2 linked regions of the Mus musculus genome follow. The protein of the gene in region 2 interacts with the protein of the main gene of each other region in a pairwise test. Links are inferred from orthologs where the notes say so. Each region holds a gene or a part of one and is shown on either strand. Other genes may lie near its edges.

What was found.
Region 1: the proteins of Padi4 (region 2) and Anxa4 interact in binary tests that used the Homo sapiens proteins (3 or more experiments, as listed by UniProt). The two-hybrid records come from large-scale screens. The link is inferred for Mus musculus from reciprocal best matches to the Homo sapiens genes PADI4 and ANXA4.

Annotation. Positions count from the first base shown.
Region 1 is NC_000072.6:86,790,118-86,795,697, forward strand, and holds the start of Anxa4 (annexin A4), read right to left. Parts: upstream 3,468-5,580; 5' UTR 3,392-3,467; intron 843-3,391; exon of another isoform or gene 777-842; intron 1-776. UniProt on the Homo sapiens protein: Calcium/phospholipid-binding protein which promotes membrane fusion and is involved in exocytosis.
Region 2 is NC_000070.6:140,770,614-140,776,290, reverse strand, and holds the start of Padi4 (protein-arginine deiminase type-4), read left to right. Parts: upstream 1-2,087; 5' UTR 2,088-2,110; coding exon 2,111-2,202; intron 2,203-5,677. UniProt on the Homo sapiens protein: Catalyzes the citrullination/deimination of arginine residues of proteins such as histones, thereby playing a key role in histone code and regulation of stem cell maintenance.

The DNA.
Region 1 (5,580 bases), on a different chromosome or scaffold from region 2:
CGGTAAGAACCGCTCAAAAAAAAAAAAAAAAAAAAAAAGAATGGTGCAAGAGCCAGGTGTGGTGGCACATGCCTTGAACCACAACACTAAGGAGGCAGAGGCTGCCAGATCTCTATGAGTTCTAGGTCAACCTGGTCTGCATAGTGAGTTCCAGGAGAGTCAGGGCTGTTGTCTTAGAAACAGGCAAACAAGAATGGGGCAAGGATCTAAGTAGTATTTAGACTTTCTAGGGGAGCTTGATGAACCCTGACGTTTGAGGAAGTATTAGGAATCTTTTATAGCTTTATCAGTACAGTTCTACAGAGCCTCTGCCCAGGCCTTTTCTGCAGTGAGAACTCTCAGCAGCTCTAACACCCTCCCTATGCGTCCCAAAAGCCACTTTCTCAAGTTCAATGAGCAAATACCCGTTATCATAAGGAGTTACTCATTCCCAAGCCCACATGCCAAGCCCTTCAGGAATTTAAGAGCCATTGATTCCTACCCCCACACGCACACACTACAGCTTCCCTTTTCTGATCAAAAAAGCTTCAGGTTTCTGTTGAGGCAGGGGATGCTGGGGATTGAACCACTGGTCTTGTGATCTTAGGCAAGCAATCTACCAGCAGAGTTACATTCTCATCCCGGCTCTACCTCGGTCAACTCTATTTCACATGGCACGTTGCCACGGAGAACGTTGAAGCAAAAAGAAAAACACAGATCAAGACTCTGTTAAGAAGCCAGGAATCCACAGCTCACTGTGAACCAAGTCCAGAGTCTCAGTTGGACTTGAGCCTCACCTCACTTTGGAGGGCCGGGACTTGAAGCCTTGCATCTTCAACTGGACCAGGTTATGAGCCCATTCCAGGCTGAGGAGAATTAGAATAATGTGATTAAGCTGATCACTACTCAAAGACACTCTGAGGAGACCATCTCAGTGCCTGTTAAACTCCCTCCATACTGCAAGAGAACAAACCACCAAGGTTTGGAGAAAATGGCAGCCCCAAACCCAAGCAACACCTCTTTGAAAAAAAAAGCTTAAAAGGTATGTAATTTTGGTGGCTAGAGACGTAGCTCAGTTGGGAGAGTTACCTAGCCTGCACAAGGCCCTGGGTTGGATCCTCTGCACTCCATAAGCTTAGGCATGGTTCCTTACATCTATAATCTATAATAATCTATAATCTATAATCCCAGCATTCAGGAGCAGAGACAATAGGATCAGAAGTTCGAGTACATCCTTGGCTATACAGGAAGTTTGAGGCCAGCCTGGGCTACCTTAGACCCTATCTCAAATTCGAAGATAAAATAAAGAATACACTTTTAAGGGCTCTCCTCCCAATTTTCCCTACAATTTAAATGTAAAACATGGTTTTAGTTGAGTAATTGGGTGAAACTGACACTTAAAGAAAAATCTGCTTACTCACTCTGTAGCTTCCCCCATTCCCTGACACATGACCCATCTCCAGTGCAGACCCCTCACCTTGCTCTCTCTTGGAGAGGATCAGGGTAGCCTACAACTATGCAAGCAAGATCAGGAAAAGAAAGGATTGGCTGGTCACAGACAAAGCAATGTGCCCTGGGATGTAGGGCTGTAGGACCAAGAGGCTTGCCCTGTGGGCACTGATGGCTGAGGGAGGACCAAGAGGCTCACCCTGTGGGTACTGATGGCTGGCAGGCACAGCTTGACCTGTTAATCTCCAGACTGCTTTCAGAGAAAAAGAAGATCCCTGACCAAAGCAGGGACTCCAGCTAGGAGGAAATCATCACCCTTTCCCTAATAGCTCTGTGTCTCTAGGACCACTGGGTGAGTGTACATGTGTGTGTGTGTGTGTGTGTGTGTGTGTGCCCTGAAATCAACAGAAAGCTGAGTTGACTGGCTTTGGCAAAATGGCCATCACTGAAGTTAGTGGCTCTCAAGTGGCTGTGGTAATCTCAATCTAGTTTTCAACCTCTCCTGCACACTCTTTACAAAAGCATTAAATTAATTAATTGTGTGTGTGTGTGTGTGTGTGTGTGTGTGTTCTCCAAGCCCACAATGGGGTGTCAGACACCCTGGATCTGGAGCTTCAGGCAGTTGGGAGCCATCTGGAGTGGGTACTGGGAGCATCGAGTGTTCTTGAACCAAGACCTCCAGCCCCTACCTACTACTCTTGTGTTGGTTTTGGTTTTTTGTTGGCTGGGTCTTTCTTTTTTTGAAGGCCAGATCTCGAATAGTCCAGACTACCCTCCAATATTACCCTGAACTACCGATTGTCCTGAAGTATGAGATTCTATTCCTTTTAAATCTAAAACGGGAAGCTTCCAAAAGGGTGTTGCTTGGGTTGGGACTGTCATTTTCTCCAAACTGTCCTCAAAGGCAAACGTACACCTGATTTATTTGGAGCCAAGGATAAAACCCAAGGCTTCTGGTGTGCTGGGGGCACGCTATCAACTGAATATATGCCTGGTCCTCTCTTCTTGTTCTTCTCTCCTCCGTTCTCTAGGGACTCACGGCCATAAATGGAGTTGCTTCCCACCTAAGGAAACAGTGAGTCTGGGAATGATGGGCAGAGGGATAGGTAACAACCGGCCATCCTATCCATCCTTCCACCATCCACTAAAGTGCCCAGTTTTAATGAAAGGCGCAGTTGCTTAAGGCCCAGAGTGCTCCTCCAGTAAATGGAGGCTTTCATACCCTTGAGGTGCACATTGAGCCAGCAAAGTGTTAAACCGCCAATTGTCTTAGGCGCCAAAGTCTCCAACTGGTCAAAGCACCGAGGACTAAGTTAAAATGTAGACACAGGCAGACACAGAATAAAAACTAAGAATAAGATGATTCCTGGGCGCCAGGCACTGTGTGGAGACCGTTCGCTACAAGAGAGGCGAGGAGCGCCCTAAGAAGACGAGAAAGCAAACTTACTTGCAAAAAGAAAAGGCAACACAAGTAGTGCTGGAGTGAGCTTCAGAGAATGTTAACTCAGTGGCTTATCCTCAGTGCGGAGTCCCGGGGGGGCTTTGACTCAGCAAAGGACTGCAGGAGTGCTGTGCACCGTGCGGCACTGCCTGCTCCTCCCCACGTTTCCCAGGTGGCTGCTCCGGTCCGGGACCTCACGCTTCCAGGGCGCGGAGCCAAGTGGCCCAAAGAACCCGCCTCTGGTCACAGCACCCGGTCCCTGAGCCCAAGATCCCCAGCCACAGTCTAGGACAACCGGCAGGAGCCCAAGATTCCCAGGTCCAAGCCTAGGACAGCGGGCGAGCCCAGGATCCCGAGGTTAAGTTCAGGTTTCCAGGCCCCAGCTGCGACCCAGCCTAGGATTCCCCAAATGAAGTCTAGATCTCCAGGTCCGAGCCTAGGACACCTGCCCGGAGCCTAGGACCCACACCCAGACCCCAGAGCCCGCGGCGGAGGTCCGGACCACTGCCCTAAGCCCCTTACCTCTGGTGCGGAGAAAGGCTCTAGACTACGGCGAATGCCACACCCTCGTCCCGGCCGATAGGACCCGCCCAGTCTCGGGGTGGAGACTGAGCCCAAGTTCCTGGTTGTCCCTTTGCCCACAGGAAAGTCCCTCCCCGGAGAAGCGCAGCTAGAGCACGAGAATCGCCCCCAGCACCAGGAGGGGCCTGAGGCAGATCACGCACTCGGCCTTTAACCCCACTGAGGACAGCGAGCCCACTCAGGACCCTGACCCTGCACAACCAGACTCCCAGGGTCTCAGCCTCGCGTCCTGCTGGGGTCGCACAACGTACTTGGGGCCTCGGCGCTCCAGTCTAGAGTGTAACTTGAAAAATCAGAACGTGACATCTGAGGACACAGTCCATGTCCTCCTTTCACATTATAACATACGTTCCAGAAAATTCTCAGCAGTTGCACGCCTCCCTTAAAGAAGACAGATGCAATCCTCAAAGTCAGGGGAAGGGTTCTCGGAGACAGGTACAGGTCACCGTTGGGACCGGGGTTAGAAGCAACTCTGGGTTTCCCACTAAACTTCCAACTGAAGCATTTCTTGGTTGCTAGCCAGCCTGGTTCTGGCTCCTTGCTGGACACGGAGGCACATGCCTCTTGCTACAAGGATAATGAATGCTTGAAGAACAGAGGCAGGTGCAGGCAACAGAGGCTCCACAGGCAACCTCCAATTTCATTTAACAAAGAATGGGTCGCTTTGGGCAGTGTTTGCTCTCTAGCCAACCAAAACCTAGGTGGTCATTATTTTAAATTGTATCAGCAACTGTAGCTAGAGGAGGTGGCTTATTGTGTGGTCAGGAGGAGGAAGGCTGAGGGGGTCAGGAGGAGGAAGGCTGATCTAGACTTGGGCCTGTTTTTTCATGTTCCAAAGTCTATATGTTTCTAAGCTTCCACAAGGGAAGACAAAATTAATCATGGTAATAGGAAGGACAAAATGAAGATTCAAGACTATTGTATCCTTTTAAAAGTAATTACATGCAGGGGAGGTGGGGTGGGGGGTGGATAAAGGTTAGTGTCTAGGAACTGTAGTTAGCCCACAGCTAAGCTGATCTTTATAGCAAGTGCAACCAGGCCACAGGCCTCTGATGTCACTTCTCCCAAAGTCTGCCCTAGCCCAGGTAGGGAAGCCACAGACAGAGGCTTTTACTATTACATATAAATACGTGTGCATTTTACTTATTTTATGTGTACAGATTTTTGTCTGTCTGTATGTCTACACACCAGCATAGGATCCCTTGGCTGCTGGGAATTGAAGACCTGTCTTCGGGGAAGACTCAGTGCTAGTCCCCACCTGAGTCTTTTATGGGAAACAAAGGCCAGGACTCCATCTGACCCAGGCTCATCTGGGATCTGAGGTCTGGGATCAGGGAAGGGCTGACCTCCAGTAGGAGTCTTGACTCTTTCTGAGCTCTGACAGGTGACATGCGACTTCTTCCAACAGATGGCAGGCTCTCCTGGGAATGCCCAGGAGTGCACTAACAGGGCATCTGCATCTTGTCTTACTTCTGGGGACCTGATCTAACCCAGAGCGACAAAACAATGAATAGAGCTGTTCAACTTAAGGACTCAGACTTCACACTAAAGATATCAAAATTAGGCACCACCAGGCACACACATGATGTACCTGCACACTTGCAGACAAAGTACTTGTATACATAAAGTAAAACAATAATTTTTTTATAAATATGAGAAGAGCGCCAGGCAGTGGTGGCGCACGCCTTTGATCCCAGCCCTTGGGAGGCAGAGGCAGGCAGATTTCTGAGTTCAAGGTCAGCCTGGTCTACAGAGTGAGTTCCAGGACAGCCAGGGCTACACAGAAAAGCCCTGTCTCGAAGAATATATATATATAAATGAATGAAAAGAGCACAGACTGCTCTTCTAGAGGATCCCAGGTTCAATTCCCAGCACCCACATGGTGGTTCACAACCATCTTTAACTCCAGTTCCAAGAGATCTAACAATCTCCTCTGGTCTCCATGGGCATCAGGCATGCAAGTGGTGCACAGGCATGCATGCATACAGACAAAAACACCCATACACATTTTTAAATACCAAAATAAATACACATATCTGTTAGATTTCAAGCCCAGAACAAATGGCCAAGTTACTTAACAGACGCTGGCTGCCATGTTCTCACTGCATCCTGCCTGTCCCGACCTGTGT
Region 2 (5,677 bases):
GATGATAATAATAAGTTGTTATTATTATTATTTAACAAGAAAAACATCCCACGGCACACTGTGCATCTTAAAAACATACAGTTCTCAACTGCGTGGGTAAGTCTGGGGTGACGGCTCAGTCAGTGAAGTGCTTGCCTTGCAAGCCGGAGGATCTGCATTTGGCTCCCCGACACCCACTTAAAAAGGCAGGTGCAGTGGCGGGACCTGTGAGTCAGAGACAAGCGATTTGTAGAGTCAGCAAGTCCAGCCAATCAGGGTTCAGTAAGAGACCCTGTCTCAAAACATCAAATAACTCTCAACGGAGGAAGATGTTCAACACTGTGCCATGGCTTCTCTGTGCTCTCACGAGGGCTCATGCACACTCACACAGATGTGCACATGTGTGTCACACATATGTAAGGCCCTGCGGGGTGGAGGCCCACACTTGAATCCCAGCGCTGAGGAAGCAGAAACACATTCTTCTGGGACTCACTGGAAGCCAGCAGAGTGGACTTCGTGGGTTGCGGCCAATGAGAGATCCTGTCTCAAAACTCAGGGGCCGGGCGGTGGTGGCGCACACCTTTAATCCCAGCACTTGGGAGGCAGAGGCAGGCGGATTTCTGAGTTCAAGGCCAGCCTGGTCTACAGAGTGAGTTCTAGGACAGCCAGGGCTATACAGAGAAACCCTGTCTTGAAAAAAACAAAAAATAAAAATAAAAAAAAATCAGGCTGGGGACCAGGGAGATGATATTTGCCAGAAAGCTTGGTGACCTGGGGTTCAATGCCCAGGACTCACATGGTGGAGGGACAGGAGGGACAAAACAGACTCCTACCATGTCTTTATACTATGGCTGGTGGCCTGGCTCCTGTACCAAACCCCCTGAGGACAGAAAGGGACCCTGGTCCTAACTCCTATTTAGGGATCACGGGACCCAGGAGCCTTTTTTTGGCCTCTCAGACCCCCAGTAGCCTCCTGTCCAGCACACACATGTGCTGAGCTCTGGGGACGCTGGCCAGGAGGCCATGGGCTCAGGTCTACCGAATCCTGCGGCCTTTGATGTGGAGCCAAAGGAGACCCTACAGCCCCCCAAACACCCTGTGCTCTCGGCAGCCTCCGAGACAGACACACCCTCTCTGGGTGCTCCCTGTTAGGACTTGTCATCCCCACCCCCAGTTCACCCCATGAGCAGACAGCCCTGGCACCAGGTGCAGAGCCCTCATGAGTGCCCTCAGGGCGGGCGCGGCCCACACCCGCACCATCTGGTCTTCTGGGGGAGGTCCTGTAGAGGCAGATACCCAGGGTATGCAGCAAACCTCACCTCTAGGTTGGGTAACATGGTTTCCCCTCCCAGCCGTGCCCATGGCCCCCACTACTTTTTCCTCTCTGTGCTTCAGCTTTCCCTTCTATAAAATGGGCTGGCAGTCAACTGCCCTCGGATGCTTGGTGTTACAGTGAGAAGCCTTTGTCTTAAGGTTTGAAAAGACCACGTCACCAGGACAGACTGCTAATAAAGGCCCTACCCTGTGGCCAGCTTCTGTTCAAATCCTTACTGGCTGCAGAGCCTCCTCTACCCTGGGCCTCAGTTTCTTCATCTGGAAAGTGGGTGTGATGATGTGAGCTGACCTCAGAGATGCTTCAAGGATGAAGTGGGGGAAGGGACTGCAACAGCTTGAGTTTCACAGACTGTCCTGGGAGCATTTCAGCGGAGAGCAAGTCCCGAAGAGAAGAGTGGGGGGTAGGGCGGCGACCTCAGCCACGCCCAGAATAGCCTTCTGTTTAGCCTTCTCCTGCCTTTCTCCCCTTCTTTCCAATGTCTTGTTAAGTGTGCTTGGGCAAGATGTGCAGTCCTGGCCCAGGCAGGGGTGGCTAAGGGCATAGCCTGTGCTCTCCCCTCACAGGCTTCCGAGTGCCCCACTCTTCTGCTGTTGCAGGCTTCACTGTGGACACCCATGGGTGGGTGGGGGGGTCCTGGGTGGCCCAGGGTAGAGGAGGCTGTGCAGCCACTGGGGCACCTGAGTGGAGAGGGGCTGGGCCTCCGGGGCAGGGCAGGTGCTGACTCATGGGCTCGCCTGGCACTATAAAGGAACCAGCCCAGGGGCTTCCTGCTGCCTGCTGACCGAGCGAGCAAGGATGGCCCAAGGCGCGGTGATCCACGTGGCCCCCGAGCAGCCCACTCACGCCGTGTGTGTGGTGGGCACAGCGACCCCGCTGGATGTCCGCGGGTGAGAGGGGCAGAGATCCTGGGCCTGTGGGGGCAGTTTGGGGCAGGCAGGAGCTGGGCGCTGCTGGCCCAGCTCAGGTTCTGGGCAAGAGATCTGCTAGAGAGATAAGCCAGAGGTGTGGGGCCTATCGTGCCAATTAGTTCTCTGTGAGGTATAAATACAACTGCCTGGCACTCAATGCAAGGAATTACAGGGCTGCCTAACAAGGGAGAAACAGTCCCTGCTGTAGGCTGACGGTGGGGAGGGCTTGGGCAGCTGGGCCTGATTTACCTTACCTCATGAAATGACTTTAAGGATTAAGTGTGGCAACTCCAAATGTGTTTGTTAAGCACTCTATGGTGCTGTTTGTTAAGTACTCCATGGTGCTGTTTGTTAAGTACTCTGAGGTGCTGTTTGTTAGGTACTCCACAGTGCTGTTTGTTAGGTATTCCGTGGTGTTGTTTGTTAAATACTCTGAGGTACTGTTTGTTAGGTACTCTGTACAGTACTGGGCAGATCAGATCCCCAACAGTTCATTTGTTGTTCATTTTTTCCATTCCCTTGTACATTCAACAAATATAACCTGAGTACTTACTGAGCACTGTGACCTCTGCCAGGTTCCGGGTCACCTAGGACAATGGAGGAAGCCTCGTGGGTGGAGTCTGATGCAGCCTTTCATGTGGGAATTGCAGCAGCTTCCCCCACAGAGCTGGGCATCGTGACCCAAGTGATGTCCATAAAGGCCTCTGGGAGGTGCCCAGGGTCAGTGGGTCAGTGACTGTCTGACCCCAGCAGCAGGAAAGCACTGGCGGTCTGGGTGGCTCACAGGCCACTGGTGAGAGGCTGAGGACACAAGGAAGGGAAAGCCTGGTATCATCAGAGGCGCCCACTCCCAGAGGACAAGCTGCTTGAAAGTGGGTGCCGAGTAGAGGCCAGAGGCCAGAGCTAGCCCAGCATCCTCGCCAGGATCCCAGGCTAGCTCTCGCCTTAAGTCTAGGTCACAAGTGCTCTTATTGTCTGTAGATGCAGGGGTGTGTGGGAGCCTGCGGAGGCCAGGACAAACTCAGGTGTCATTCCTCAGGCTCTGTGTACCGAGGTCGGCAGCCAGCCTGTGGGAGTCAGCTCTCCTCTCACCATGTGAGCTCCAGGACTCAGGTCGGCAGGCTTGGCAGCAGGCGCCTTTGTCCACCGAGCCATCTTGCTGATCCTGATGGAGGTTTTCAAATGGGGAGATCTGAGCATTTGATCAGACAGGGGTGTTGATGAAAATGTGGGTGTTTGTCCCCCGGGAAGAGCCAAGACTGGGGCATGTCCCGTCCGTGAGAAGGGAATACAAGAATGGGAGGGCTGTACTGCGGGGGGTAGAGGGGGACAGCAGCTTGTGCCGCTTGCATGAGGTCTTGGAAGAACTTCTGCCCTTCTCAGGGCATGGGCTCAACCTGCCTTTGCCTCCCAGCTCTGGGAGCAAGCCTGCACCCCCGCGCTTAGCACACGGTTCTGGGGCGCAAACTCGAGTCCTGGGCCTTTCATAGAGCCACACCAGGATCTGACATAAATAAGTAAATAGACAGACCGACAATAAATCATTTTAACTGCCCCTCCCAGGCAGTGCTATATGAGCAAGCCCCTAAACAGGGCTACCAAGCTCTGTGGCCCTGTCAGGGACTCAGGCCTAACCCCACAAGCATGGGGACCAGGGGACAAAGAAGAGGCCACCTGTGGTTTGAGAGGCCCCAGGTGACACTAGAAGGTGTTGTGTTCACAATGGGAACCCCAGCCTATGCTGGGGGTAAATGAGTGCCGTGAATTAGGTAGATAATTTCTCCGTGGCTACGCATGTACACACGCACATGGGGGCGGGGCACCTGCATGTGCAGGGAGGGCCAGACCTTGTGCATAGTGGTTTTCTGGTTTGTTGAGTGAGTGAAAGGAAGTTGGCCCTCAGTCACTCTGGGATCTTTTTACAGGAATGGCAGGGATAGGGGTAGGGGGAATATACTCGAAATCAAAACCCTTTTCTGGTCATTCTGTGTTGTCTCCCCAGGGCAGGCTCCAAACCATCCCCACCCAGCCTTTTCCCACAGTCCTCCAGGAAAGTCCGGCCTCTGTGCCACGTAGCTCTCTGATCCTTGAGTGCGGTGTGGAGCCAAAAGATGGGCGTGAGGAAAAGAGAAAGGACAGAGAATGTTCCAGGAATCAGGCTTCTCCACACCTGTTCTGGAACCCTCCTCCTCGCTGGCCTCGCTGTGACTGTCACTGTCACTCCTCCACACTGGCTTTCCTTCTTTTTTTTTTTTTTTTTTGTTTGTTTCTTGGTTTGTTTGTTTGTTTGTTTTTTCGAGACAGGATTTCTCTGTGTAGCCTTGGCTGTCCTGGAACTCACTTTGTAGACCAGGCTGGCCTCGAACTCAGAAATCCACCTGCCTCTGCCTCCCAAGTGCTGGGATTAAAGGCGTGCGCCACCACACTGGCTTTCCATTACCCCGGTGCTGTGTGTCCCGACTGTGGCTGACCCAAGCCTGCAACTCCTCCTTGCCCCCCACCTCACAGCTTCTTCACCTCAGAGTCTCTTGAGAAAGAAACCTGGGCTCTTCCCTCTGTCCAGCAGGTTCTGTTGACTTGGAAACAATTCCACTTGCCTCATAAAAAAAAAAAATCATGATAAAATAAGATAAAATGCAGGTTTTCTCAGCCACTGGCTTCATCATGCCTTGCTGAGCCTGGGTTTCCAGTCCCTCAGCTTCTGCTCAGTTGGGTAACTCAGCAGCTCCGGTCAGTAGCTTCCTGGGTGTGGTTCTCACGCCTGAGGGTGCACAGAGCACCCGGGAGACCTGAGGAAGCTCAGACCTCTGGGCTCCACCCCCAAGTCTGCAGCAGCCTTGGAAACTGGTTGTGCCCAGTTTCCCGGGAGGTTGAGGCTGCTGGCCTTGAGTCAAGGAGTGTACATTGGCTATAGCAGGTCTCTGGGGAGAATATATATATATATATTATAATATATACATATATTACAATATGTAATATAATATATATTATAATATATAATATGTTACATATATTATGTACTATATATATATATATATATATATATATATATATATATATATATGAATGAATAGGAGAGAGAGATGTGTCCTTGGGGACAATCCTTCTCCTATGCTCACTCAGCAATGCCCTCCTACCGGGACCAGCAGGCTGTTCTTCAGTGAAGAGGGGGAAGGACTAAGGACAGGAGATGAGAAAATAAAGGAGATAGCAGAGCTGAGACCAGAAGTCCATGCCTAAGCTGAGGACCAATGCTAAGCACGTTTGTTACAAAGTACAGCAGCTTCTATACAGTTCACAGGGAGAAAGGGGCAGAGTCGGCAGAAAGCCATCATATAATGGGACTCGAGGTCATCAGAAAGCTAACAGAGCCTTGTTGCACAAAAGGGACACGGGGCACGGAGAGTGCATTGCAGATTAAGCACACAGTAGCCGCCTCCGGACAGATAACTCC